Pelodiscus sinensis: one gene and its partner. The protein of the gene in region 1 binds, or shares a complex with, the protein of each later gene. Links are inferred from orthologs where the notes say so. Each region holds a gene or a part of one and is shown on either strand. Other genes may lie near its edges.

Evidence for each region.
Region 2: KAT6A (region 1) and BRPF3 share a complex: the UniProt entries of both Homo sapiens proteins name them as parts of the MOZ/MORF complex. The link is inferred for Pelodiscus sinensis from reciprocal best matches to the Homo sapiens genes KAT6A and BRPF3.

What each region holds. Positions count from the first base shown.
Region 1 is NW_027465860.1:504,797-519,941, forward strand, and holds the start of KAT6A (histone acetyltransferase KAT6A), read left to right. Parts: upstream 1-8,436; 5' UTR 8,437-8,583; intron 8,584-9,753; 5' UTR 9,754-10,078; coding exon 10,079-10,681; exon of another isoform or gene 10,682-10,776; intron 10,777-15,145. UniProt on the Homo sapiens protein: Histone acetyltransferase that acetylates lysine residues in histone H3 and histone H4 (in vitro). Component of the MOZ/MORF complex which has a histone H3 acetyltransferase activity. May act as a transcriptional coactivator for RUNX1 and RUNX2.
Region 2 is NC_134737.1:12,988,884-13,004,028, forward strand, and holds the start of BRPF3 (bromodomain and PHD finger-containing protein 3), read left to right. Parts: upstream 1-6,825; 5' UTR 6,826-6,965; intron 6,966-15,145. UniProt on the Homo sapiens protein: Scaffold subunit of various histone acetyltransferase (HAT) complexes, such as the MOZ/MORF and HBO1 complexes, which have a histone H3 acetyltransferase activity.

The DNA of each region.
Region 1 (15,145 bases):
CCCCTGCACAGTGCAGGCCACAGAATCTCGCCCACCCCTCTTAGAATAATCCTCTCACCTATGTCTCAGATATTGAAGCCTTCCAATACTTTGAAGGCCCCAACATGCAGAGAGTCCTTCAGCTGTGATCTGTGCCCAATGCTACAGAGGAAGGCGAAAAACCTCCAGGGCCTCTGCCAATCTACCCTGGAGGAAAATTCCTTCCTGACCCCAAATATGGCGATCAGCTAAACCCTGAGCATGTGGGCAAGACTCACCAGCCAGACACCCAGAAAGTTCCCTATAGCAACTCCTATCATCCCTCCATTGACCTATTTCCAACTGGAAATGAATGGTCAATTAGTTACCAAGATCATGTTATTTCATCCAACCATCCCCTTATCATAGAATCAGAACTGGAAGAGACCTCAGAAGATCGTCAAGTCCAGCCCTCCGCTCTAGGCAGGACCAATCCCATCTAAATCAACCCGGCCAGGGCTTTGTCAAGCCGAGACTTAAACACCTCTAGGGATGGAGACTCCACTACTTCCCTAGGTAACCCATTCCAATGCTTCACTACCCTCCTAGTAAAATAGTTTTTCCTAATATCCAATCTGGACCTCTCCCACCACAACTTGAGACCATTGCTCCTTGTTCTGCCATCTGTCACTACTGAGAACAGCCTCTCTCCATCCTCTTTGGAACCTCCCTTCAGGAAGTTGAAGGCTGCTATCAAGTCCCCCCTCACTCTTCGCTTCTGCAGACTAAACAGACCCAAGTCCCTCAGCCTCTCCTCGTAGGTCATATGCTCCAGACCCCTAATCATTTTGGTTGCCCTCCGCTGGACCCTCTCCAATGCGTCCGCATCCTTTTTGTAGTGGGGGGCCCAGAACTGGACACAGTACTCCAGATGTGGCCTCACCAAAGCCGAATAAAGGGGAATAATGACATCTCTGGATCTGCTGGCAATGCTCCTCTTAATGCATCCTAATATGCCATTAGCTTTCTTGGCTACAAGGGCACACTGTTGACTCATATCTAGCTTCTCATCCACTGTAACCCCCAGGTCCTTTTCTGCAGAACTACTACTTAACTGGTTGGTCCCCAGCCTGTAACTATGCTTGGGATTCTTCCGTCCCAAGTGCAGGACTCTACACTTGTCTTTGTTGAATCTCATGAGATTTCTAGTGGCCCAATCCTCCAATTTGTCCAAGTCACTCTGGACCCTATCTCTGCCCTTAAGCGTATCTACCTCTCCCCCTAGCTTAGTGTCATCTGCAAACTTGCTGAGGGTGCAATCTATCCCCTCATCCAGGTCATTAATAAAGATATTGACAAAACCGGTCCTAGAACCGAACCTTGGGGCACTCCACTAGAAACCGACCTCCATCCTGACATCGAACCGTTGATCACTACCCGCTGGGCCCGGCCTTCTAGCCATCTTTCTATCCATCTTACCGTCCATTTATCCAATCCGCATTCCCTTAACTTGCTGGCAAGAATATTGTGGGAGACTGTATCAAAAGCCTTGCTAAAGTCAAGGTATATCACATCCACTGACTTTCCCATGTCCACTGAGCCAGTTACCTCATCATAGAAGCTAATCAGATTGGTCAAGCACGACTTGCCCTTTGTGAATCCATGCTGACTATTCCTAATCACTTTCCTCTCATTCAAGTGTCTCAAAATGGACTCCTTTATGATCCCTTCCATGATTTTTCCAGGAACCGAGGTAAGACTGACCGGCCTATAGTTCCCTGGATCGTCCTTCTTCCCTTTTTTGAAGATGGGCACTACATTTGCCTTTTTCCCAGTCACCCCAACCTCCCCCACTCCTGTCCCGAGACCCCCCAAAGTCACCCCAACCTCCCCCCACTCCTGTCCCGAGACCCCCCAAAGTCACCCCAACCTCCCCCACTCCTGTCCCGAGACCCCCCAAAGTCACCCCAACCTCCCCCACTCCTGTCCCGAGACCCCCCAAAGTCACCCCAACCTCCCCCACTCCTGTCCCGAGACCCCCCCAAAGTCACCCCAACCTCCCCCACTCCTGTCCACAGACCCCCCCAAAGTCACCCCAACCTCCCCCCACTCCTGTCCCGAGACCCCCCAAAGTCACCCCAACCTCCCCCACTCCTGTCCCCAGACCCCCCCAAAGTCACCCCAACCTCCCCCACTCCTGTCCCCAGACCCCCCCAAAGTCACCCCAACCTCCCCCCACTCCTGTCCCCAGACCCCCCCAAAGTCACCCCAACCTCCCCCCACTCCTGTCCCCAGACCCCCCCAAAGTCACCCCAACCTCCCCCCACTCCTGTCCCCAGACCCCCCCAAAGTCACCCCAACCTCCCCCACTCCTGTCCCCAGACCCCTCCAAAGTCACCCCAACCTCCCCCACTCCTGTCCCCAGACCCCCCCAAAGTCACCCCAACCTCCCCCCACTCCTGTCCCCAGACCCCCCAAAGTCACCCCAACCTCCCCCACTCCTGTCCCCAGACCCCCCCAAAGTCACCCCAACCTCCCCCACTCCTGTCCCCAGACCCCCCCAAAGTCACCCCAACCTCCCCCACTCCTGTCCCCAGACCCCCCAAAGTCACCCCAACCTCCCCCACTCCTGTCCCCAGACCCCCCCAAAGTCACCCCAACCTCCCCCACTCCTGTCCCCAGACCCCCCAAAGTCACCCCAACCTCCCCCACTCCTGTCCCGAGACCCCCCAAAGTCACCCCAACCTCCCCCACTCCTGTCCCGAGACCCCCCAAAGTCACCCCAACCTCACCAACTTCCCCCCACTCCTGTCCCGAGACCCCCCAAAGTCACCCCACCCTCCCCCACTCCTGTCCCCAGACCCCCCAAAGTCACCCCAACCTCCCCCCACTCCTGTCCCGAGACCCCCGTCACCCCAACCTCCCCCACTCCTGTCCCGAGACCCCCCAAAGTCACCCCAACCTCCCCCACTCCTGTCCCAAGACCCCCCAAAGTCACCCCAACCTCCCCCACTCCTGTCCCCAGACCCCCCAAAGTCACCCCAACCTCACCAACTTCCCCCCCACTCCTGTCCCGAGACCCCCCAAAGTCACCCCAACCTCACCAACCTCCCCCCACTCCTGTCCCCAGACCCCCCAAAGTCACCCCAACCTCCTCCACTCCTGTCCCGAGACCCCCCCAAAGTCACCCCAACCTCACCAACTTCCCCCCACTCCTGTCCCGAGACCCCCCAAAGTCACCCCAACCTCACCAACCTCCCCCACTCCTGTCCCGAGACCCCCCCAAAGTCACCCCAACCTCCCCCACTCCTGTCCCCAGATCCCCCAAAGTCACCCCAACCTCCCCCCACTCCTGTCCCGAGACCCCCTAAAGTCACCCCAACCTCCCCCCACTCCTGTCCCGAGACCCCCCAGTCACCCCAACCTCCCCCACTCCTGTCCCCAGACCCCCCCAAAGTCACCCCAACCTCCCCCACTCCTGTCCCCAGACCCCCCCAAAGTCACCCCAACCTCCCCCCACTCCTGTCCCGAGACCCCCCAAAGTCACCCCAACCTCCCCCACTCCTGTCCCCAGACCCCCCAACCTCCCCCCACTCCTGTCCCCAGACCCCCCCCAATCACCCCAACCTCCCCCCACTCCTGTCCCCAGACCCCCCCAAAGTCACCCCAACCTCCCCCCACTCCTGTCCCCAGACCCCCCCAGTCACCCCAACCTCCCCCCACTCCTGTCCCGAGACCCCCCCAAAGTCACCCCAACCTCCCCCACTCCTGTCCCCAGACCCCCCAAAGTCACCCCAACCTCCCCCACTCCTGTCCCGAGACCCCCCCAAAGTCACCCCAACCTCCCCCACTCCTGTCCCCAGACCCCCCCAAAGTCACCCCAACCTCCCCCACTCCTGTCCCCAGACCCCCCCAAAGTCACCCCAACCTCCCCCACTCCTGTCCCGAGACCCCCCCAGTCACCCCAACCTCCCCCCACTCCTGTCCCGAGACCCCCCCAGTCACCCCAACCTCCCCCACTCCTGTCCCGAGACCCCCCAAAGTCACCCCAACCTCCCCCACTCCTGTCCCGAGACCCCCCAAAGTCACCCCAACCTCCCCCCACTCCTGTCCCGAGACCCCCCCAGTCACCCCAACCTCCCCCACTCCTGTCCCCAGACCCCCCAACCTCCCCCACTCCTGTCCCCAGACCCCCCCAAAGTCACCCCAACCTCCCCCCACTCCTGTCCCGAGACCCCCCAAAGTCACCCCAACCTCCCCCACTCCTGTCCCGAGACCCCCCAAAGTCACCCCAACCTCCCCCACTCCTGTCCCCAGACCCCCCCAGTCACCCCAACCTCCCCCACTCCTGTCCCGAGACCCCCCCAAAGTCACCCCAACCTCCCCCACTCCTGTCCCGAGACCCCCCCAAAGTCACCCCAACCTCCCCCCACTCCTGTCCCCAGACCCCCCAAAGTCACCCCAACCTCCCCCACTCCTGTCCCGAGACCCCCCAAAGTCACCCCAACCTCCCCCACTCCTGTCCCCAGACCCCCCCAAAGTCACCCCAACCTCCCCCACTCCTGTCCCCAGACCCCCCCAAAGTCACCCCAACCTCCCCCACTCCTGTCCCCAGACCCCCCAAAGTCACCCCAACCTCCCCCACTCCTGTCCCCAGACCCCCCCAAAGTCACCCCAACCTCCCCCCACTCCTGTCCCGAGACCCCCCAAAGTCATCCCAACCTCCCCCACTCCTGTCCCGAGACCCCCCCAAAGTCACCCCAACCTCCCCCACTCCTGTCCCGAGACCCCCCCAAAGTCACCCCAACCTCCCCCACTCCTGTCCCCAGACCCCCCAAAGTCACCCCAACCTCCCCCACTCCTGTCCCCAGACCCCTCAAAGTCACCCCAACCTCCCCCACTCCTGTCCCGAGACCCCCCCAAAGTCACCCCAACCTCCCCCACTCCTGTCCCGAGACCCCCCCAAAGTCACCCCAACCTCCCCCACTCCTGTCCCGAGACCCCCCCAAAGTCACCCCAACCTCCCCCACTCCTGTCCCCAGACCCCCCAAAGTCACCCCAACCTCCCCCACTCCTGTCCCCAGACCCCCCAAAGTCACCCCAACCTCCCCCACTCCTGTCCCCAGACCCCCCAAAGTCACCCCAACCTCCCCCACTCCTGTCCCCAGACCCCCCAAAGTCACCCCAACCTCCCCCACTCCTGTCCCGAGACCCCCCCAAAGTCACCCCAACCTCCCCCCACTCCTGTCCCGAGACCCCCCCAAAGTCACCCCAACCTCCCCCACTCCTGTCCCCAGACCCCCCCAAAGTCACCCCAACCTCCCCCACTCCTGTCCCGAGACCCCCCCAAAGTCACCCCAACCTCCCCCACTCCTGTCCACAGACCCCCCCAAAGTCACCCCAACCTCCCCCACTCCTGTCCCCAGACCCCCCCAAAGTCACCCCAACCTCCCCCACTCCTGTCCCCAGACCCCCCCAAAGTCACCCCAACCTCCCCCCACTCCTGTCCCGAGACCCCCCAAAGTCACCCCAACCTCCCCCACTCCTGTCCCGAGACCCCCCCAAAGTCACCCCAACCTCCCCCACTCCTGTCCCGAGACCCCCCCAAAGTCATCCCAACCTCCCCCACTCCTGTCCCGAGACCCCCCAAAGTCACCCCAACCTCCCCCACTCCTGTCCCCAGACCCCCCAAAGTCACCCCAACCTCCCCCACTCCTGTCCCCAGACCCCCCAAAGTCACCCCAACCTCCCCCACTCCTGTCCCGAGACCCCCCCAAAGTCACCCCAACCTCCCCCACTCCTGTCCCGAGACCCCCCCAAAGTCACCCCAACCTCCCCCACTCCTGTCCCGAGACCCCCCAAAGTCACCCCAACCTCCCCCACTCCTGTCCCCAGACCCCTCAAAGTCATCCCAACCTCCCCCACTCCTGTCCCGAGACCCCCCAAAGTCACCCCAACCTCCCCCACTCCTGTCCCCAGACCCCCCAAAGTCACCCCAACCTCCCCCACTCCTGTCCCCAGACCCCTCAAAGTCACCCCAACCTCCCCCACTCCTGTCCCGAGACCCCCCAAAGTCACCCCAACCTCCCCCACTCCTGTCCCGAGACCCCCCCAAAGTCACCCCAACCTCCCCCACTCCTGTCCCCAGACCCCCCAAAGTCACCCCAACCTCCCCCACTCCTGTCCCCAGACCCCTCAAAGTCACCCCAACCTCCCCCACTCCTGTCCCGAGACCCCCCCAAAGTCACCCCAACCTCCCCCACTCCTGTCCCGAGACCCCCCCAAAGTCACCCCAACCTCCCCCACTCCTGTCCCGAGACCCCCCCAAAGTCACCCCAACCTCCCCCACTCCTGTCCCCAGACCCCCCAAAGTCACCCCAACCTCCCCCACTCCTGTCCCCAGACCCCCCAAAGTCACCCCAACCTCCCCCACTCCTGTCCCCAGACCCCTCAAAGTCATCCCAACCTCCCCCACTCCTGTCCCGAGACCCCCCAAAGTCACCCCAACCTCCCCCACTCCTGTCCCCAGACCCCCCAAAGTCACCCCAACCTCCCCCACTCCTGTCCCGAGACCCCCCCAAAGTCACCCCAACCTCCCCCACTCCTGTCCCGAGACCCCCCCAAAGTCACCCCAACCTCCCCCCACTCCTGTCCCGAGACCCCCCCAAAGTCACCCCAACCTCCCCCACTCCTGTCCCCAGACCCCCCCAAAGTCACCCCAACCTCCCCCACTCCTGTCCCGAGACCCCCCCAAAGTCACCCCAACCTCCCCCACTCCTGTCCACAGACCCCCCCAAAGTCACCCCAACCTCCCCCACTCCTGTCCCCAGACCCCCCCAAAGTCACCCCAACCTCCCCCACTCCTGTCCCCAGACCCCCCCAAAGTCACCCCAACCTCCCCCCACTCCTGTCCCGAGACCCCCCAAAGTCACCCCAACCTCCCCCACTCCTGTCCCGAGACCCCCCCAAAGTCACCCCAACCTCCCCCACTCCTGTCCCGAGACCCCCCCAAAGTCATCCCAACCTCCCCCACTCCTGTCCCGAGACCCCCCAAAGTCACCCCAACCTCCCCCACTCCTGTCCCCAGACCCCCCAAAGTCACCCCAACCTCCCCCACTCCTGTCCCCAGACCCCCCAAAGTCACCCCAACCTCCCCCACTCCTGTCCCGAGACCCCCCCAAAGTCACCCCAACCTCCCCCACTCCTGTCCCGAGACCCCCCCAAAGTCACCCCAACCTCCCCCACTCCTGTCCCGAGACCCCCCAAAGTCACCCCAACCTCCCCCACTCCTGTCCCCAGACCCCTCAAAGTCATCCCAACCTCCCCCACTCCTGTCCCGAGACCCCCCAAAGTCACCCCAACCTCCCCCACTCCTGTCCCCAGACCCCCCAAAGTCACCCCAACCTCCCCCACTCCTGTCCCCAGACCCCTCAAAGTCATCCCAACCTCCCCCACTCCTGTCCCGAGACCCCCCAAAGTCACCCCAACCTCCCCCACTCCTGTCCCCAGACCCCCCAAAGTCACCCCAACCTCCCCCACTCCTGTCCCGAGACCCCCCCAAAGTCACCCCAACCTCCCCCACTCCTGTCCCGAGACCCCCCCAAAGTCACCCCAACCTCCCCCCACTCCTGTCCCGAGACCCCCCCCAAAGTCACCCCAACGTCCCCCACTCCTGTCCCCAGACCCCCCCAAAGTCACCCCAACCTCCCCCACTCCTGTCCCGAGACCCCCCCAGTCACCCCAACCTCCCCCACTCCTGTCCCCAGACCCCCGTCACCCCAACCTCCCCCACTCCTGTCCCCAGACCCCCCCAAAGTCATCCCAACCTCCCCCACTCCTGTCCCGAGACCCCCCCAGTCACCCCAACCTCCCCCACTCCTGTCCCCAGACCCCCCCAAAGTCACCCCAACCTCCCCCACTCCTGTCCCGAGACCCCCCCAGTCACCCCAACCTCCCCCACTCCTGTCCCCAGACCCCCCAAAGTCACCCCAACCTCCCCCCACTCCTGTCCACAGACCCCCCCAAAGTCACCCCAACCTCCCCCACTCCTGTCCCCAGACCCCCCAAAGTCACCCCAACCTCCCCCCACTCCTGTCCCCAGACCCCCCCAAAGTCACCCCAACCTCCCCCACTCCTGTCCCCAGACCCCCCAAAGTCACCCCAACCTCCCCCACTCCTGTCCCCAGACCCCCGTCACCCCACCCTCCCCCACTCCTGTCCCCAGACCCCCCCAAAGTCACCCCAACCTCCCCCACTCCTGTCCCCAGACCCCCCCAGTCACCCCAACCTCCCCCACTCCTGTCCCCAGACCCCCGTCACCCCACCCTCCCCCACCCCTCTGCCCCAGAGCCCACCCACGTCCCCCCAACCCTCCTCACACCCTTCTGCCCCCAGAGACCCCTCCCCCCGACCCCTCACGCGCGCGGCGCTGCGCTCGGTGCGTCTCCCTGGCCCCGCGCAGCCCGGCTGTTCTCTCGGCGGGTCCCCCTCCCGCCGCAGGCTATTCCCCTCCGCCGCCCCCTCCCCCCGCCGCCGAGCGCCGGACCCAAGATGGCCGCCGTGTCAGTTTGGGGCTTCGCCGCCGTCCGGCCTCCGGCTCGCGCTTCGCGGCTCGCGCAGGCCCCGGTGAGTGGCGCGGCGCAGGCCGCTCGCGGCTGGGGGCCCGGCGGCGCGGGGGCCGCGGGCAGGCGGCAGGTCGGGCCCTGCCGCCCCGGGACGGGGAGGCCCGGCGGGTTCGCCAGGCCCCGCGGCCTGTTCCGGCCCCGCCGCCGCCGCTCTGCGCCAAGCCCGGCCTCGGCCCCGCCGCCCCGCCGCCGCGCCCACGGCAGGCCGCGGATGAGGCCGGTGGCGCGGGCCGCGGCGCTGGGCTGCGGCGGCTCGTGGCGCGGCTCCAGGGGGGCGGCGGCGCCGCGGGAAGCCGGGCCGGGCTGCTCGGTGCCCGGGAGCAGGGTCAGGCGCCCGGCGGGCGGGCGGGCGGGGCGGGAGCGGCTTGACAGGTGCAGGGGCGCTGCAGCGTGAGCCGGTGTCCCGGGGCCGCCCCCCGCCTGTCACAGCGGCCTGCCCTGCGGGGGGCGGCAGGGTCCCTGCCCGGGCCCAGGGATGGGGACTCGGAGGCATCGCAGCTGTCTGTGGTCCGCATCTCCCCTTGCATCTGCAGCAGCGAGTACAGCTCCTGTGTCAGGAACTCGCCTTCCCTGCAGATTTTGTGTTGAGCAGGGGTTCTAAACTTCTGCCTCAGTGTTAAGCGTATCCCGTCTGAGGGGGCTCCAGGGTCTGATTTGGGTGTTTTCAAATCCTTTGTTGCGTGCAAGTTCTCCCACACTTCCTAGAAAGCAGGGGATGAGAAGGAAGAGCTAGAGGTAATACGCTGACTAACTTCAAACTTCCTGGTATAAACTCTCTCCTATAAAAATGGTGGTTTGCAATAAACTGTTCACAACTCCTTGAATGTCAGTGTAAGAGGCAAAATGTACCTGGTGCCTGTGAGAGTCCTGTAGTTACTTTGTATTGAGAACTCAGGCTGATGTTTTCACTACAAAATTAAATGTGTTTGTTACATCAAGATAGCTATCATGATGTAAAATTCTATTGAAAATCAGGCACCAGATAGTTTTGTTTAAGTGAAGACATAGCCTAAGTATTATTTAAGCTTTGTTACAAAATGTGCTCTGAAACTTCAATGATGGATTAGAAGAATTTACTGTATTCTTGTATGTTTGTGAATATACAATCTAGATTGGAACACTTGTGACTGTCTTTGTGTGTGTGTGTGACTATTTTCTCATTTTCTTTCAGATTTAATGTTCCAATTTTTCTGATGTGAGATTGGAAATCCAAAATTGAGGTGACATGTGCTGAGTTCTGTGCAACTTTGTGAAAACCTTGCTCAAGAGCTGTTGGATTTATTGAGAGCATGAAGAAATTCCTAACAGACTATGTAATTTTTCTACTTTCAGTTGAAAAATATTAATGTTGGAAAAAGAGTTAATTCAGATTCAGAAATGTGTATGCTATGGTTAACTGGTTCCCATCCTCCAAAAATCTGTTTTCCCATGGTGTAAAGCTTATTCAGCATCGGGATAAAGGATAACGACTCTATGGATATACAGAATTCTTCACCATGGTAAAACTCGCTAACCCGCTGTATACGGAGTGGATTTTGGAGGCAATCAAAAAAGTGAAGAAGCAAAAACAGCGCCCTTCAGAGGAGCGGATATGCAATGCAGTATCTTCATCCCATGGTTTGGACCGAAAAACTGTCCTGGAACAACTAGAATTGAGTGTTAAAGATGGAACTATATTAAAAGTCTCCAACAAAGGTCTCAATTCCTACAAGGATCCTGATAATCCTGGGAGAATAGCACTTCCTAAACCTCGAAACCATGGAAAGTTGGATGGTAAACCAAACGTGGACTGGAATAAACTAATCAAACGAGCAATTGAGGGCTTGGCAGAGTCCAGTGGTTCATCCTTGAAGAATATTGAACGCTTTTTGAAAGGTCAGAAGGATGTGTCCACATTGTTTGGAGGTAGTGGTACCTCCATCTTTCACCAGCAATTGCGACTAGCTGTCAAGCGTGCTGTTGGCCATGGCAGACTCCTTAAAGATGGACCTTTGTACCAACTCAACACTAAAGCAGCCATCAATGCTGAGGGGAAAGAGAGCTGTGAGTCTCTTTCCTGTCTGCCTCCAGTGTCACTCCTTCCCCATGAAAAGGATAAGGTAAGAGCCAAGAATACACCAACATTTCCTTGGAACTGATGAAAAATGGTGATACAGGCTCAAAATTTGAGGTCACTCTCTTTAATATGTAACTGGTAAGTTGAAAATGGGCAAGAGACTTTAAGAACTGTGCGGCAAGTGAATGGTTCTGTTTTCTTCCAGTTTCTGAGCATGAACGCAGTTGGTATTTTGTGCCTGCCACTTGGACAGGTCAAATGGCAAACTAGGTAGTTCCCTTCCCAATATTCAGGGTGTGAAATTAAAGGGTTGGTCAGAGACTTCCTAACAACACAACTTTGAGTATGTATCATATTTTTAACTCCACTTATCAGTAGGAAAAGCAGGATAGAATCCTCTCACATTTTTAAATCAGATGGATTATAAAAAAGGACATAAGAACGGCCAAACTAGGTCAGACCAATGGTTCATCCAGCAGAAGCAGCCACTCTAGCTTGCCTGGAGGACTTCTCCTTTGCTGTTTTTCCAGGGTCAGCATGGGGCTTCGGGCCTAGTGCATCCCATCACATGTAGACATAAGGATGACCATACGGGGTCAGCCCAACAGTCCATCTAGCCCAGTATCCTGTCTGCCGACAGTAGCCAATACCTAATGCCCCAGGGGAAGGGAATACAACAGGAATTCCTCACGTGATCCCTCCCCTGTCACCCACCTCCGGAGAAACAGGCTAGGGACACCATTCCTACCCATCCTGGCTAATAGCCATTGATGGACCTAATCTCCATGAATCTATCTAGCTCTTTTTTGAGCCCTGTTAAAAGTTCTAGCCTTCACCTCATCCTCTGGCAAGGAGTTCCACAGGTTGACTTTGCATAGAGTGAAGAAAAACTTCCTTCTGTTTGTTTTAAACCTGCTGTTTATTAATTTCATTTGGTGACCCCTAGTTCTTATATTGTGGGAATAGTAAATAACTTTTCCTTATTAACTTTTTCCATACCAGTCATGATTTTATAGACCTGTATCATATCCCCTCCTTAGACTCCTCTTTTCTGAGATGAAAAGTCCCAGTCTTTTTAATCTCTCTTCATGAGACCCCTTCCAACTCCCTAATAATTTTTGTTGCCCTTTTTATGAACCTTTTCCAATGCCAAGATAACTTTTTTGGAGATGAGGCGACCACATATCATATTGTATGTGTAGTAGGGATTATATTTTCAAATGTGCATTACTTCACATTTATCAGCATTAAATTTAATTTGCCACTTTGTTGCCCACTCACTTAGTTTTGTGAGATCTGTTTGAAGCTCTTCGCAGTCTGCTTTGGTCTTAACTATCAAGAAAAATCAAGGTTTTTTTGTTTTGTTTGTTTGTTTCATTTGGCTACCAGCCCAATTCACTATGTTGGACGCAATTAATTATTTATTAATTATTTGTTTTGTGATAGCTGATTAGGACTTGTAGATGCTATCTGAGCCTTATTGTGCTAAGTGATTTCAACCCACATAATGAATGATAGTTCTTGTCTCAACAAATTTAGTTTTAGTTAATGAAAAGTCAGCAAGTCAATAGAACAAATGGGGGACAGGATGGAAGAAAAGGTAATAGAATGAACACTTTTTAAATGTATGTTACAGTACAAAATAATGTGGTTCCATTAGCATAAAGAAACGTGTATAGATTCATTTTAAAATGAAACACCTTTCTTCTGTATTATAATGTCTCCTCTTCTGTGCATATTTTTGGCATGTTTCTTTATATTCCTCTCCTTCTATAAGATTTTGGACCTCTCCAACTTCAAGATCAAGTTAGCAGAGTGAAATTGACACTGGTAGTTTCACTCTTGCCACTGTTTTACCACTGGGGAAGTTATGTCAACAAGTTTATTTTCAAGTAAAGGCAAGAGTTGCCAAGATAGGGGTCCCTTTGTACTGCAAGTCTCTGAAGCCTTCTGCAACAGTGTTGAAAGTAACTTTCTCTCATCCACACTACTGGCTAAATTATTTTCAACTCTGAGAGTAGAAGGTCTTGTTGCTGACATACTTTTGTTACTGATGAGATCTCAGTGCCCATCTAATTAGTTTCATGCTCCAGACAGGGTTCTTCCCCATTCTAACAAGCTTTGAGGCCTTGATGACATGAAGTTTCCTTTCTATAATTTCTCACTACGCAGCAAAGATCCAACAATGACTGTACAGGGGAGAGCACTATTGTAAACAGAACACTGTTACTTTCATCACTGTTGGACATAGACCTGCACTGAGTAGGATTAGAGGATTGCTTACTAGACCAGCATAGTTACAGCATTATGGTCATTGTATACACAAGCAGTAAAACCAATAGCAGCTGAACCGATGATAGTAACAGTGGGAAACCGTAGTATGCCTTAGGGTCTGCTCTCTGAGAGAACATCTATGCTCTGGAGGTGGTTGCATTTTAATACTGTGGCACTCATATGATCATTCACTGGGATTATTTCATGGCGGTGTCTTAAAATGAGGTTGTGTAAATGCAGTGAAGGAAAATATGGAATGCCACAAAACTTGTATCTTATTTCTTTGTCCACCACTATGTCCCTTAGATAAACCATGAACATTTCAATCAAGATTTTAAACAATTCCCAGGTCCCTTTGGAATTACATTCACTTCTTGTAACTGTTCAGATCTAGGATTTCTCCTGTAGCCTTTGCAGCCATGACAGAAAGTTCACATGGCCATGTACTGAAGAAAACGACAATGACCAATCCTGCTGACTTTTGCCATATTCCTTCTTGAACTCCACTCTGAATGTTTCTCTTCAAATACTCTTGACATATACTGCGTGATTCATGCTAAGTTTCTAGCTAGCTTCACAGATGTCATTGCTGCCTGTCAGGGTATGTTGTCTTGTTAGCACATCTTCAGAGTTCTTGCAGTTTTAATTGGTCTGCGGATCATGATATAGTTAAAGCCAGGAGGCATTTGCATGACTGGGACAGGCATCTAACTTTTTGCCTCCAATAGTAACAGATACAATAGATGCCAGCATGACAATCCTTTATTTGAATGTTGATGGTTGAGAGGGACATTTTTTGTTTGTTGCCCTTTTTTGTTTCGGTGAATTTGCTTTTTATTGTCAGCATTGGAGACTTGAATTCAGGGTTCTCACAGTCAGTTTACCTTAGGGCCAGTGTCAGTCCTAAAATTCTCCTGTTGGGCCTGTGGGTTCCCTTTCTGGCAGGGTTTGGGAGGGTTTCCGTGCATCTCTCCCCTCCTCACCCATGCACTTCCCAGCTCCGATGCCCCCGGGTGATTTAACCTCACCCCCGGGTGCTCCCAGCGTTACTACCAGCAGCGCAGTAGGTGCAGAGTGGCCTCCATCTGCTAACACTGTGCCACTGCTGCCACATTCCTGTGGCCCAAGGGAGGTGTGTGTAGAGTAAGTTCAGTGCAGCCACCCCAGGCTCTGTGTTTTGGGGGTCTCTGCGGCAGCTGCCTCAAGCATCCTGTGGACTGGAGGGCCCCCTGTATTCAGATTGGCCCACAGGGTCCTGGGCAGGCTGTTCCACAGGGACTTGCATGTGCACAACCATGTGTGGGCTGGATTGTGGAACTGCTCAGGCTGTAGATGACCTGCGGGCTGTGAGTTTGAGACCCCTGCTTTAGTTCCTTTATCCACAGAACAGGTGCAGTATGAATAATGGTAGTGCAGGGTTCCCCTTGTAATCTTTGAAAGAGACATAACGAGACCACCTCTGAAACTGAGTAGAGAGCTCAGTTGCCTTACCCAATTCAGGCCATAGATTTGATATAAAGAAATTCTCTTATCAGTTATAGGCAATTGGTTCTTGATTTTCATTTGCACTATTCAAGCTGAAAGAAATGCACACAGTAAATTGAATAAGATGTAAACTAGAAGACTTGAGGGACCTGAAGACCATAACTCAGACTATGTTGATACTGCAGATAAATACCCAGAGTTGACTGGTGCCAGCTGACTTGGGCTCTGGGGTCATTTATTTGTGTGTAGCTGTTCAGGCACAGCTGTGGGTATTTAACTGCAGTGTACAGCAAACTTCAAATAATCCGGCACCTTTAGGACCCAGGGGGTGCCGGATTATCAGATATGATGGACTATCAGAAGGGGGGGCTATGAGGGGTCTGGGGTGGGGTGGGGGGATGCTATCCCAGACCCCCTCATAGCCCCCCCTTCTGATAGTCCAGCTCTGCCCCAGGAGTCCCTGATTCAGCCGCTGCTGGTCAGTTTCAGCAGCGGCTGAATCGGGGGCACCTGCATCAGAACAGCTGGGGTGCTGCTGGGTTGGTCCGGTAGCGCCGACCCCTGGCGCAGCAAGACCAACCCGTCAGCACCCCAGCTGCTCTTGGGGACGCCTGGGGCAGAGCAGCTGGGGTACTTCTGGGTTGGTCCCGCAGCTCTGCTCCTTGGCGCTACTGGACCAACCCAGTAGCACCCGAGCTGCTCTGCCCCAGGTGTCCCCAAGTCAGCTGCTGCTGATACTGATCAGCGG
Region 2 (15,145 bases), on another chromosome or scaffold:
ACCCTCTCCAATGCGTCCACATCTTTTCTGTAGTGGGGGGCCCGGAACTGGACACAGTACTCCAGATGTGGCCTCACCAGAGCCGAATAAAGGGGAATACAGCCACTCCCCGAGTTATGAACAAGTTACGGACCAACACTTTCTCCTTCTCAGTCAGGGGCCATGTCAAAGCAGGTTACAATGTCGGGCCCAGCAGATACTGATCAATGGCTCGATGTCAGGATGGCGGTCAGTTTTTAGCAGAGTTCCCCAAGGATCGGTTCTAGGACCGATTTTGTTCAACATCTTTATTAATGACCTGGATGAGGGGATGGATTGCACCCTCAGCAAGTTTGCAGATGACACAAAGCTAGGGGGAGAGGTAGATACGCTGGAGGGCAGAGATCGGGTCCAGAGTGACCTAGACAGATTGGAGGATTGGGCCAAAAGAAATCTGATGAGGTTCCACAAGGACAAGTGTAGAGTCCTGCACTTGGGACGGAAGAATCCCAAGCATTGTTACGGGCTGGGGAATGACTGGCTAAGAAGCTGTTCTGCAGGAAAGGACCTGGGGGTTACAGTGGATGAGAAGCTGGATATGAGTCAACAGTGCGCCCTTGTAGCCAAGAAGGCTGATGGCATATTGGGGTGCATTAGGAGGAGCATTGCCAGCAGATCTAGGGAAGTGATTACAGCCGCTCCCCAAGTTACGACCACCTCCACTTATGACCATCCGCACTTACAACCAAAGCGGTCATAAATGTGGATCCAAGTTACAAACGGCGATCCGCGCTTACGAACAGTGCGATCGCCATGTAACTCTATGGGATCTGAGTTACAAACACTTCGAGTTATGGACCAAGTGTTGGTCCGTAACTTGTTCATAACTCGGAGAGTGGCTGTATTCCCCTTTATTCGGCTCTGGTGAGGCCACATCTGGAGTACTGTGTCCAGTTCCGGGCCCCCCACTACAGAAAAGATGTGGATGCATTGGAGAGGGTCCAGCAGAGGGCAACCAAAATGATTAGGGGGCTGGAGCACATGACCTATGAGGAGAGGTTGAGGGATTTGGGTTTGTTTAGTCTGCAGAAGAGAAGAATGAGGGGGGATTTGAGAGCAGCCTTCCACTTCCTGAAGGGAGGTTCCAAAGAGGATGGAGAGAGGCTGTTCACAGTAGTGATGGATGGTAGAACAAGGAGCAATGGTCTCAAGTTGCAGTGAGGGAGGTCTAGGTTGGATATTAGGGAAAACTATTTCACTAGGAGGGTGGGGAAGCACTGGGATGGGTTCCCTAGGGAGGGGGTGGAATCTCCATCCCTAGAGGTGTTTAAGTCTCGGCTTGACAAATCCCTGTCTGGGTTGATTTAATTGGGATTGGTCCTGCCTTGGGCAGGGGGCTGGACTTGATGACCTCCTGAGGTCACTTCCAGCTCTATCATTCAGAGAAAGTGTGGCTTTTTTCCTTCTCACTTGTGTGGGCCCCCAACTGATTTTTCTATGGGCCAGTGGCCCCAAACCCAAAAAAGGTTCCCCACCACTAGGCTAGATGGCCCTCTGGTCTGACTCTTTGTTCTAAATTGATCTGTGAATAGTTACTTTGTTATTCTGTTAGAAAAATCAGTGGGAAAAGAAGAGGGTGTAGGGTAATTTTTTCTTCAAAAGGACCTGCTGCATTATTGGGATGAAGGGAGACAGAACTCCCTCTGTCTTGGAGACCACCTAAAAGTCATTTAATTTCCTTTTCATGTGGATCTTTGGAAAAAAAACATATAGTTGCCTGGAAAATGGGTTTTATTTTGTCCCATAGGATTAATCTTTTTTTCACATTTAAACTTTAAACATTCTAAGGATGTTCGTATATTCTTAATAGCCTGTGCTGGTTCAGCTAGTCACTGGGACTGACTCTGCTTGTTTCTACCTCAAAGGAACAAAACAAGTGGAAGAGGAGGATAGAAAAAAAGGAAAACAGTGAGCGTTCCACCCCCGAAAGAAATATTTATTGCATTAATGACAACTAAAAATACACTTCTCTAATATTTTCCATGCAATAATACTTTCCACTGGGATGTCGTGCTACAATAAATGGCACATCACTGGTGTCTTTGAGACCCCTCTGTTAAGAGGCAGTCCACAGTTAAGAATCTGTTCACTGGTATAATCAGACAAACGAAGGGGGAAAATTACTTGAGGTTATGTCTGCACAACAGGTTTAAGCACACTTTATTTAGAAGGATTGTCTGTCAGCATGATTTCAGGATAAGAGTTTCAGTATATACAGATGAACACATGGATGTAATATTTTAACAGAATACTTGTTCAAAGGGCCGTTTTCTGAGCATGTCAAGTTTGCGCATTTCTAATATGGCATAGCCAGTGCTGTTTCACATTCAATTCCATCAACATTTCTGTTGATTGATGACTGCTTTATTTTGAAAGGTCATATTTCTGCTGCTTTAAATCCTATTGCAAGTTTAGCATACTTGTATTTAGCCCTATTCTATTTTTGATTTCATGAAAGTGACCTAAATCCTTCAAACTCCTTTTTACAGAATTTTAGAAATGGAAGTCACAAAATTCAGACTTTTTTTGCAGACAAATTCAAGCTCAGAACAAACAGGTTTGGTTTAAAATAAAAATGTACATATTAATGTCAAAAAGATGTCTACAGGCATATACATTAATTAATTAGGCCCTGATCCTGTAAACTGCTCTGTGCAGGTGGATCTCCATGCATAAGCAAAGCCCTGTTGGGTGTGGGTTCTCAGATAGCACATGCAAGCCTTTAGAATGTCATTTTAAAAGTGTAACTTAACTGAGCATTCACATCTTCAGCTGGACATAAATGTGAGCTGTGTATATTAATCAACTCTGTATATCAAGCATTAATGTGTGCTGGTAGCTTTTAGCAATGGCAGTTTTAAGAACATTTTAAAAATGGCACATTTTAGTTGAGTAGTTGCTACTTATATTCATTTTCAGTTTTTTTATTTACCAATGTAACTGCACAGTTTCAACTCCAAATTGTAACTCTCCTCGTGTTTGAATACAAATGTGCTAGAATGAAGCTGAAGAAATTTATGATTTGGAACTGAAGGCGCACAGTTCTGCTTGATCTTCACTGCCTGTCGTTTTCCTTTGAAGAAGCAGCATTAGTTTTGAACTTGCACCCTTCAAAAACAGATAGAGAGACTAAATTGAATTAAAGTGTTCCTCTGGGACATTGAGATAAGTCTGAATGTTTTTAAAAATAACACATTAGTTCCACATATACACTGTAAAATTAAATGATGGAGAACCTGCTAATGCAAGGCCTCATCTTGCAACAGTTTATGGATATGCTTAACTTTATGCATATGAGTAGTTTTACTGCACTCCATGGGATTATTTACAAATTTGATATTAGATGTGTAAATCTGTGCAAGATTGGGGCCTAACCTTGTAAAGATACCAATCTCAGTGCAAGTCAGACTAAATCTACACAATGTGATTTGTCCTTTTCATAGGTGTTCATTTTTTTAATTGTATCCTTTGGTATATATGGTTGTGACTACTTTCTTCCACTATTTGATCTGAGGAAGTGGGTCTGGCCCACGAAAGCTCATCATCTAATAAACCATCTTGTTAGTCTTTAAAGTGCTACATTGTCCTGCATTTTGCTTCAGCTACCCCAGACTAACACGGCTACATTTCTATCACTAAATCTACGCTATGAGCTAGGGTGTGAGTCCCATCTCCAATACACACTCATACACACTCTCCTCTGAGCACACTAAAATAGTGTAGCTGTGATAGCATAGGCACTAGCGAACAGCAATACTTGATACCCTGTATACAAACTTGCCTGAACCCCTCTTGGAGAAGCTAGTCCATACTACCATGGCTCCATTACTATTTTTTAGTGTGCTAACTCACAAGACAGCTAGAAAAAGCATGTTATGAAAACTGGGGCTCACACCCCCAGTACATGATGTAGAAGTAGCCTAAGCGTCTGACTCTAAACCAGTGATGGACAACCTAGGCTAGTGAGTGGGACATAAGTGACCCTCCATCTCGGTGGGCTGCAAAATATTTGTAACCAAGATGGTCTCCTGTGCTAGTAGAATAGTGTAGTTTTGCTAATTGTTCATGTGTACCTAGCTTTTCTGGGTGTGCTGATTGAACCGTAGCAGCGCTTTGATTGGATGCAGAGGGAGCACATGGCTCTTACCGTCAATGTTGTGTGCAGTCATTACACACTTCACTTCATGTGCACTTGCATGTCACTTGAGTAATATCGTTAGGAAAAAACCTACATGGAACCAGAAGAATTTGAGAACGGGCAATGGTAAACAAAATGTCTTGTGAGTCACACACAGAACCCCAATGGGCCACAGATTGCCCACCACTGCTCTAAACACTCAGAAGTGAAACTATAGTAAAATGGTTAGTGCAAGTTTCACCACTGTATATGCTAAACTTATGCAAACACACACCAAAACCTTTGTCTGGAATGAAAATGAAGTTCTAACTTAAAAAAAGGGAAATGAGTTGATTTTATTTTTTACTAGTAAATAAAAGAGTCTTTTCTACCCTGCACCCCTGCTTCCAATATTTTAAACATTTGTTTTGTGAAGACTACTATGCTTTGTTATTAAGATTAGGCCATTAAATGTTAATTTTGGGCTCATTGTCATTCCACTAAAATTGATAGTTTTGTAACCTTTATTTCCACAGCTCCCATTGATGCACTGATCCAAGTGTAGCTTATAACCCAGCTTTTTACCGAAGAATTGTGAGTTCCAGCATGTTGCTGGGGTTTTTTTTTAAGAATGCATTGACCCAGGGCTTGGAAAAGAAAGTTGGCTTAAATTTTGCAGTTGATACGCTAAATCATGGATATCCTTTTCTATAACATTAAACAGTTTCCTTAAATTGGGGTCCTTGGATCATGAGTGCATTGCAAAGTTAAATGTCAGATGCTGCTACTCATATTCCACTGCTAATTCACAATAAAAGCTAAAACTCAGAATTGGTCAGAAAATGGAGGGGGGGGGAATCATGAAAATTTTCATTTCTATTTTATTGAAATGCAATCTATTTTGCAGTTAATTTTATAAACTAGTATCCCTGTATGGAATATACGCACAATCATTACTGGGTGATAGGATGTCCATGGGATACTTTTTATAGGGCGTACCATATATTAGAAATGTTTGGTCTACCTCTCCAACTTTCCAGCTCAATACCTATTTTCTCCTTTGCCCAAGCCTTAATTACTCTTACTCTCAGTGATGTTCTGGTGTTAACTCCCCAATACTTTAGGTGAATGTATAAACATTGCGCTACAAAATAGATGTGGATTGTACTGTTCGGACCATTTGTTTAATCTAGGTAACCTTAAGAAACAGAAAGGTTGGGAACAGGTGCACGTGGGAAGCTGAGCAGTCAGCACACAGAGCACAAAAATCAGGCTTGACCCGACAGCATATTTTGAGAGGAGTGGGAAGAGACACAACCCCAGGTTGTTGGGTAGCCATGTGGGAAGATAACTTGTCACACCCTAAGGCTGTCAATCAGTATATGGGGATTGTAGTGACATCTCCAGGCTGGAACACCCCCCTTCAGCTGTGAGGGTGTGAGGATACTTCCTGTCAGTAGATGAGAATGGGGTTCACCTACAAGGCTGCTCCCCAGCTTCAGAAAGCTGGAGAAGGGATACCCCAACCCCTCTCAAGATATGAGGTTAGGAGTCGTTGCCCTTCACTTTTTCACACTGGGGTGGGGGGGACCACACACCCCAGGCTGTACTCCTTCAGCACACCCACCTCCAGTGGGATATGAGGTGGTCATTCTCTCCCCCCCCCCCCCCACACACACTTCAACACACTGCAGGCAGGTCACACCCTAGTCTGCCCCTTTCAGCAGTGTAACCCTCCAGCTCAATATAAGGGGTAGGGGTCTCTCGCAGGCTGCCCCCCCCCTTCAGCACATGAGGCAGGGGAACCCCTAAGGGTTGCCCAGTAGAGGTAATGTCTGGGCTGCCCCCCCTTCAGCACACTGCAGGCAGAGGGGAACCCCCCAATTCAGCCCCGTGGAGGGGACTCCTAGGCTGCCCCCTTTCAATACGTCAGCCCCGTGGGGGGGCCCCCTTGAGCACACTTCAGGCAGAGGGGAACCCCCCAATTCAGCCCAGCGGGGGTGACTCCTAGGCTGCCCCCTTTCAATACGTCAGCCCAGTGGGGGGGTCACCCCCAGGCTGCCCCCCTTCAGCACACTGCAGGCAGAGGGGAACCCCCCAATTCAGCCCAGTGGGGGTGACTCCTAGGCTGCCCCCTTTCAATACGTCAGCCCCATGGGGGGCCCCCTTGAGCACACTTCAGGCAGAGGGGAACCCCCCCCATTCAGCCCAGTGGGGGTGACTCTAGGCTGCCCCCTTTCAATACATCAGCCCCGTGGGGGGGGGGGTCACCCCCAGGCCGCCCCCCTTCAGCGGCAGGGCACCCCCCCGTGGGGGAGGGGGCGCTCGAGGCGGGCAGTCTGCGCTCGGCTCCCCTCCCCCCCCAGAGGCCGCTGCCCCCGGGCCTCCCGCACTGTGGTGTCCGGGGAGGGGGGAGCGAGGGGGGGCGGTCCCTGCCTGTGGGGGGGAGCGAAGCTGCTGCAGCCCCCTCCCCCGCCCGCCCGCCGCGCTCGCTCGCTGCCTCCTTCCCTCTCCGCTCGGCCGGGCTGCGCTGCCGCCTCCATCTTGTCCCCCCCCCCCCCCCGCCGCCGCCTCTCGCCGCTTCCCCCCCCCCCCCCGCACCAGCAGCCGCGGCGGAGCGCGCGGGGCCCCCGGGCGCGGCAGCGGGGCCGGGCTCGGAGCCGCCGCGGCGGGGGGCGGCGCTGAGGCGGCAGCGGCGGAGCGGACCCGACCCAGCGGACATCTTGCCCCCCCCGCGCTGCGAGCTCCCCCCCCGCGGGAGCCGGAGCCGCCTCGGCCAGGCGGGAGGAGCAGGCGGCGGCGCGGCCAGGTAACGCGGGGCCCGGCGCGGGGGGGGGCGGGGGCCCGGGGGGCGGGCAGGGAGGGGGGTGGAGGGGGGGTGCGGCCGCCTCCGCGGCGCCTTGTGGCGGGGGCGGCAGGAGGGAGGGGTGGCTGGGGGGGAGCTGGGGCAACAACCCCCCCGCCATCTTGTCCCCCAGAACGGGGTGGCCCCGCCCACCTTCTCCCACGCCATTGGTCGAGGCGGGAGCGGGGCCCGCCCCTCGGTGCTTGACACAGGCGCCGCGCTCCCATTGGCCGCCGCGGGAGGATGGAACGCGGCAGCCGCCAATGGCGGCGGAGATCCGGCTCCCCGTGCTCCCATTGTGAGGGGAGGAGGGGCTTTCCCCGCTCAAGGGCTCGGGAATGCTGGAAAAACTACAAGCCAGCGCGCCCGCGGGCCTGGCGCAGCGCCCTGAGCCCCGCCCTGCCGGGGGGGGGCTGAGACCGGGCACAGCTCACTGCATGCACCGCCCTGCCAGGGACTGACCCCCTGTGCCTAGGGGGGGTGCTGAGACCGGGCACAGCTCACTGCATGCACCGCCCCCTGCCAGGGACTGACCCCCTGTGCCTAGGGGGGGTGCTGAGACCGGGCACAGCTCACTGCATGCACCGCCCTGCCAGGGACTGACCCCCTGTGCCTAGGGGGGGTGCTGAGACCGGGCACAGCTCACTGCATGTACCGCCCTGCCAGGAACTGACCCCCTGTGCCTAGGGGGGGTGCTGAGACCGGGCACAGCTCACTGCATGCACCGCCCTGCCAGGGACTGACCCCCTGTGCCTAGGGGGGGTGCTGAGACCGGGCACAGCTCACTGCATGCACCGCCCCCTGCCAGGGACTGACCCCCTGTGCCTAGGGGGGGTGCTGAGACCGGGCACAGCTCACTGCATGCACCGCCCTGCCAGGGACTGACCCCCTGTGCCTAGGGGGGGTGCTGAGACCGGGCACAGCTCACTGCATGCACCGCCCCCTGCCAGGGACTGACCCCCTGTGCCTAGGGGGGGTGCTGAGACCGGGCACAGCTCACTGCATGCACCGCCCTGCCAGGGACTGACCCCCTGTGCCTAGGGGGGGTGCTGAGACCGGGCACAGCTCACTGCATGTACCGCCCTGCCAGGAACTGACCCCCTGTGCCTAGGGGGGGTGCTGAGACCGGGCACAGCTCACTGCATGCACCGCCCTGCCAGGGACTGACCCCCTGTGCCTAGGGGGGGTGCTGAGACCGGGCACAGCTCACTGCATGCACCGCCCCCTGCCAGGGACTGACCCCCTGTGCCTAGGGGGGGTGCTGAGACCGGGCACAGCTCACTGCATGCACCGCCCTGCCAGGGACTGACCCCCTGTGCCTAGGGGGGGTGCTGAGACCGGGCACAGCTCACTGCATGCACCGCCCCCTGCCAGGGACTGACCCCCTGTGCCTAGGGGGGGTGCTGAGACCGGGCACAGCTCACTGCATGCACCGCCCCCTGCCAGGGACTGACCCCCTGTGCCTAGGGGGTGTGCTGAGACCGGGCACAGCTCACTGCATGTACCGCCCTGCCAGGAACTGACCCCCTGTGCCTAGGGGGGGGGGGTGCTGAGACCTGGCACAGCTCACTGCATGCACCGCCCTGCCAGGGACTGACCCCCTGTGCCTAGTGGGGGTGCTGAGACCGGGCACAGCTCACTGCATGCACCGCCCCCTGCCAGGGACTGACCCCCTGTGCCTAGGGGGGGTGCTGAGACCGGGCACAGCTCACTGCATGCACCGCCCTGCCAGGGACTGACCCCCTGTGCCTAGGGGGGGGGTGCTGAGACCGGGCACAGCTCACTGCATGCACCGCCCTGCCAGGGGCTGACCCCCTGTGCCTAGGGGGGGTGCTGAGACCGGGCACAGCTCACTGCATGCACCGCCCTGCCAGGGGCTGACCCCCTGTGCCTGGGGGGGGGGTGTGCTGAGACCTGGCACAGCTCACTGCATGCACCGCCCCCCTGCCAGGAACTGACCCCCTGTGCCTGGGGGGGGGGGGGGGTGCTGAGACCGGGCACAGCTCACTGCATGCACCGCCCCCCTGCCAGGAACTGACCCCCTGTGCCTGGGGGGGGGGGTGCTGAGACCTGGCACAGCTCACTGCATGCACCGCCCCCCTGCCAGGAACTGACCCCTGTGCCTAGGGGGGGTGCTGAGACCTGGCACAGCTCACTGCATGCACCCCCCCCCCTGCCAGGGGCTGCCATGGTTGGATAGGGGCTGGAGCCAGGCTGCCATGGCCATATGGGGGCTCGGGCACTGCAGCTGGGCCACCGTGGCCACATGGAGCTGGGGCACCACAGCCGTGGCTGAATGGGGATTTCAGTCTGTGGCAGGATCAGGGCTGGAGATGGGCCATCATGGCCAGATGGGAGCCAGAGTCCCCTGCCCCAACTTCTTCTTGTGGCAGGATCAGGACCAGGACCAGGATCCTGCAGCAGGAGCCAGGTCGGAACTGGACTGCCTATGGCAGGTCCAGGCTGGAGCCCAGCAGCCCTGGTTGGTTGGAGGGCACTACAGGTCCCTTGCTTGTTCGGCTTCCTTGAGCCCCTGTATGGCGCTAAATAGGCAACTGCACAGCTGCTCAACCATGCAGCTTACAGGAATCTGATGCTGAGGCCTGTCTTAACTCTCTGCGTGCATTATCACTGGCATGGTGGATACTTGATAAAATTGATGAGACTTGATAAAATTCACTGCATGCTCTGACCAGATCTAGGGCATGCAGCTGTACTGCTGAGCCTAGACACAGTTCCTTGTCTACTTCAGTCCAAGCCATCTGCAAATACAGTGTGTGTTTGTCCTTGGTAAAGAGTAGGACTTGGTTGACATGCGTCTGGTAGGTGCGTTCGTGGGCACTGTATAAGGCATGTGATTAGGTGGACAGGCATGGCTGGTGTTAAGTCTGGTTGCCATGAGAAAAGAATGCTGTATGGTGACAAGATGACGCAGAAGCGTGACTTGAAGGCATTGAGGATTATTTCTTTGTGGCATTTATTGATTTATTTATAGGTGCCCATCGAGTGCTCTGGAAAATTAAAAACCACAATATAGACTAACATAAACAAGGCACTTCCCATAACTGTAACTACATCAGAGGGGTAGTGTGTAACATTAAAAACAATTAAAAGTCCTGTGGCACCTTAAGCCAGGTCTACACTAGGAGAGCAGTTCAAATTAAGATACAAAACTCCAGCTATGTTAATTACTTAGCTGGAATCAAAGTACCTTAAATCGCTTTTTGGTGCCATCCACACAGCAGGAGGTCGACAGGAGCAAGTGCTCCTGTTGACTTCCCTTATGCCTCATAGGAACAGGACTGCTGGTGTTGATAGGAGCACCCTCTCAGTTGGAATTAACGTGTCTTCAGTAGGGATGTAAAAGAGTTGTTGATTAGTTGACTATTGGTGTCCCCCCCCCTGGCTGCCTTTATAGCAGAGGCAGCAAGAAGGGGGGAAGCAGGAGCTAGTGCTGGGAGGAGCCGGCTTAAAAGCCAGTTCCTCCCAGCACCCTCTCTGCAGTGCGGAAGGGATGGGGAAGGCAGAGGCGCAGCAGTCAGGGACCTGACGTGAGCCGGGGCTGCTGAGTCCCAGCTTGTGCCAGGTCCCAGACCTACCTCGCTGCGCCTCTGGGCAGCTCTTACTACATTTAAAAGGCAGAGCCGCAGCAGGTTAGGTCTGGGTCTCAGCAGCTTTGGCTCGCGCTGGATCTAAGACCTACCCCTGCTGCAGTTCTGCAGTTTAAATGTAATAGGAGCTGGGCTACCTGTGCCCCTGGCTCCTACTACATTTAAACTGCAGAGCCGCAGCAGAGCCGCTAATCGACTAATCGTGGACTCGCTTAGTATCAAGTACACAATTAGTCAGTTACCCGCTTCTTAACATCCTTAGTCTTCACTAGACCCGCTAATGCGAACCTCAGAAGATCGCAGAAGATCGACGTTGCCACCGTTGATCTTCCGCATGGTATAGACATGGCCTTAGAGACTAACATATATACAGGGCTCGACAAATCACTGAATCTACTTGCCTGTGTTGTGGTGAGTAGATATCAGCCGGTCGCCCCGTTCACCGGTGGTGCGCATATGTGCAATGCAGGTCTTGCGCATACGCAGTGCGGGGCTTGGGAGCAGATTTCACTGCCGTTTGTCAAGTCCTGCACATATATATATAGTATCATGAGCTTTCATGCGCAAATCCCACTTTTTCAGGTGAGATGATCTTGAGATCTCGAGGAAGTGGGTTTTGCCCATGAAAACTTGCCAGGTGTCTACACTGCACGTGCGTTCTTGTGCAAGTAAATTTACAGTAAAGCATCGGAAAACAGGGCTTCTTCCGGAAGAGTTATTCCTTTCCCCACACGGAATAAGCCTTCTTGCGCAAGAGCTCTTCCACAAGAGGGCAGTGTAGAAAGGCGACATGATTTTCTTGCGTAAGAAGCCCCTATGGCTAAAATGGCCATCAGAGCTTTCTTGTGCAAGAGAGTGTCCACACTGTCATGGACGCTCTTGCGCAAAAGCACATGGCAGTGTGGACGCGCTCTTGTGAAAGATTTTTTGCACAAGAATTCTTGTACAAACCAGTTCTTGCGCAAGAAGCCTTCAGTGTAGACGTAGCCTAAGGTCTACATTGCATTCCTCTTTCGATACAGGAATGCAAATGCAGCCAAGTGAAATTGCAAACGAAGAGCATATTTGAATTTCCTGTGCTTCATTTGTATAATGGCGTCCGGGCGCTGTTTCAAAATGCCCTATTTCAAAAAAAAACCCTCTGTGTAGATGGGGTTATTTAAAAAAACCACCCTTTTTTCGAAATAACCCTTACGCCTTAAAAAATGAGGTTTAAGGGTTATTTCGAAAGAAGGTTTTTTTTTTTCGAAATAGGGCATTTTGGAAAAGTGCCCAGACGCCATTATGCAAATGAAGCATGGAAAATTAAAATCCGTACTTCATTTGCAATTTCGCTCGGCTGCATTTGCATTCCTCTCTCGAAAGAGGAATGCAGTGTAGACACACCCTAAGGTGCTACAGGACTACTTGTTTTATAACTACATCAGTCTGTGTCTTTCTAAGCTGCTTTAGAAATAGTGAAAAAGTTGGGATTTTCATTGTACTCAGAAGGTTAACAGATCTGGGCTCTGGTGGATCAAGGTTGGGACTGAATTCTAAAACTGAGGCCCCTTCACAGAGAATGCCCTGAAACAGCTTCTTTTCTTTATGTCAAAGGCACAGCAGGTAAAAAACATCTTTGTTGGTCTCACTTCCAACACTCTGTCATGGAGAACAAGGCATCTCTCAGGTAACCAGGTCCCAAACCAATCAGGGCTTTGTAGGCAAAGCCAACACTTTGAATTCCACCTGGAAGCTTATTGGAGGTCAGTTCTGATCATAGGGTGCTGATTAAATGTGTTCCCACTGTGCAACTCCGCTTAATCAGTGGGCTGCAGGATTCTGCAGAGCTGCAGTGTCTGAATGGTCTGAGCATGCAACCCCACAGAGAGCACATTCCAGCAGTCTTATCTTTGTGGCATGGAAAATTGCAGCAGACTCCATTCGCAGGGAAAATGTCGCACTGACTTGCAGGTGTAGTGCCCGCTTGGCCCCATCTGCTACTTTGGGTGGTCCAGAGCAGCTCAGGATATAACAGCCTCAAGTGGAGCCCATGTCTTGCACTTTGTGGATATTGGGTGCTAAAATAAGACCCCTAAACAATCCCAGCTGCTTCCTGCAGCCCACCAACATTATCTCAGTCTTGTCTGGGTTGGATTGCACCAGCTAATACTCACTCCAGTCCCAAGTTCATCTAAGCACAGAGAATGTGTTTAGCTGCTGTCTCTTGGTCACACCTGATAGAGAGGTAGGGCTGTGTCTCTTCAGTGTATTGAATACAGTGCAGCCCATGTCACCTCCCTTACCCTCTTTGAGGAGTGTCTCATACGCACTAGGGATGTGAAGGTTTAACCAGTTAAACTTCATTTCTTGAGCGTGGCGCTGAAACATGGGCGATCTTGATCCAAGTGGATGCAGCTTCTCCACTGATGTTCACCTGCCAGCTGTTTCAAGCGTCCAGATTTTGGGTTGTAACCCGAAGCTGACCTAAAGGCTACGGCTACACTGTAGCCTTCTTCCAGAAAAGCTTATGCAAATGAAGCGCAGCGTGGAATATCGCCGTGTTTCATTTGCATGATTAATTAGCAGCTGCTTTTGTGCAAGAGGCTTTTTCACAGAAAGGAGCTGTGTAGACAGCTCCTTTTTGCGCAAAAACCCTCTCTTGCACAAGAGCCGTTCCTCGTTCCTTGCGCAAAAGCGGCTACTAATTAATTATGCAAATGAAGTGTGGTGATTTTCCACGACTCACTTCATTTGCATAAGCTTTTCCAGAAGAAAGCTACAATGTAGCCGTAGCCAAAGTCTCCACAATCTCAGCAAGCAATACTGGTCGCGCCACCGCTGAAGAGGCAGGGGTATGGGCCCTCTTAAGACAGGATAACCCAGTGCAAACAAAATTGCTCACGTTTGGAAAGTAACGTGGAAACTTTTCAAGAGAAACTCAAGTTGGCATCCGAGTGGAGGCAATGAGGATTCACCAAGCTGTCAGTGTCACTTGGAACAGATTTGCTGTGCGAGACATTGCAGATGCTATGGTGGAAGCGAGGAAACATTTCTTAGCACAGCCATGGTATATGATCTTAAGAGCTGTGCATGCAACAGTCACTCAGGCTCAGTTTTAGACTTCTGCTTCCAGTGCTTTGGCACTCTCCCTTTTTGCTTGGCCTGTGACAGTTCACCAAAGTAATTTGGGAAGCCAAAGATAACAGAGAGAGAGGGGGCCTTTAGGGGTCACTGTCAGTGTGGAGGAAAAAGATTGTTATAAAGTCTCACTCGGCTACAAACAGAGTGGTCTGTTGGAAGAGCAGCCTTCTGCCTCAAAACCTGGAAACTCACTAGTTCCATCAGCCTCTAGGGTAGTGCGTGTCAATCTGTTTACCATTGTGGACTGTATATGCAACTCTCTGTGTGTTATGTGGGCCGCATCCACACTGCTGATTGGTCCACAGACAGCCCATGGGTTTAGAACCGCTGCTCTAGGGCAAACCATCATCATCCCAGTGGGATGGCACGTCTTGATCTCAAATTGAAGGAGCCTGCGGTTGTCCCGTGACAGAGGAAATTCTAACCCAGCAACAGGCAACCTAGGCATGTGTGCTGCATGAGTGGCCTTCCCTCATCTCAGCGGGCTTGGAAGTTTGTTGCAACCAAGACGGTCTCCCGGGATAGGGTAGTTTTCTGAACCATGCTTGTGTATCTAGATTTGCGGATGGTGCCGACTGAACCACAGCAGCACTTCGGTTGGATGCAAAGGCTCTCACAGTCTATGTAGTGTGCAATCAGCCTGCACCTCGCTTCACATGCCCTTGCTTTATGTGTGTGTCACTTTAGTAACACTGGTGGGGAAAAACCTACACGGTTGGAAACCAGCAGAATCTGACAACCCTGCGTGTGGGCAACAGTAAAAAAAAATGTCTTGAAGGCTGCACATAGGACCCCAAAATGAGTCGCATGTGGCCTATGAGCTGCAGGCTGCCCTCCGCTGTCGTAGCCTCTTCCCCCCAGCTGCAAGATCCAGGGTGTCCTTATGAATGGAGCTTGCAATTATGTAGGGCAGTTTTCTTGGCATGATATTCTGGAATGAGCCAGAAAAACCCTCCTCTGAGGGGATATTGAAATTATAGAGCATCATCAGTAACTCTCGTGCATGGGTTCCCAAACTGGGGGGCGTGCCCCCTGAGGGGGCATAAAGAAATTCCAGGGAGGGTGCGAAGTGACCCAGCCTCCCCCCCATCAAGTTTTGCTGCCCTGTTCAGTTCCTTTTTTCCTTTTTTTTTTTTTTGTTCAACAAGTTTTGCTGCTATTTGGGGGAAGGGCCTGAGGGTTTTTCAAAAATCAAAAAGCCAAAAAGTTTGGGAACCACTGCTCTCCTGCCATTGTGATAAGGAACTTGATCTTCCCACAGAGGATTTCTGGATCAGCATAGAGCAGCTCCACACCCAAGCTGTTGGAATCCCCTCCCAGAACTCATGCATCAGCTTCTAGGCTCAGATCTTACTGTAGTAGGGGAGATGCATTTGAGGTCAAATGCAATAAGCAACCTCACCTCTTCTT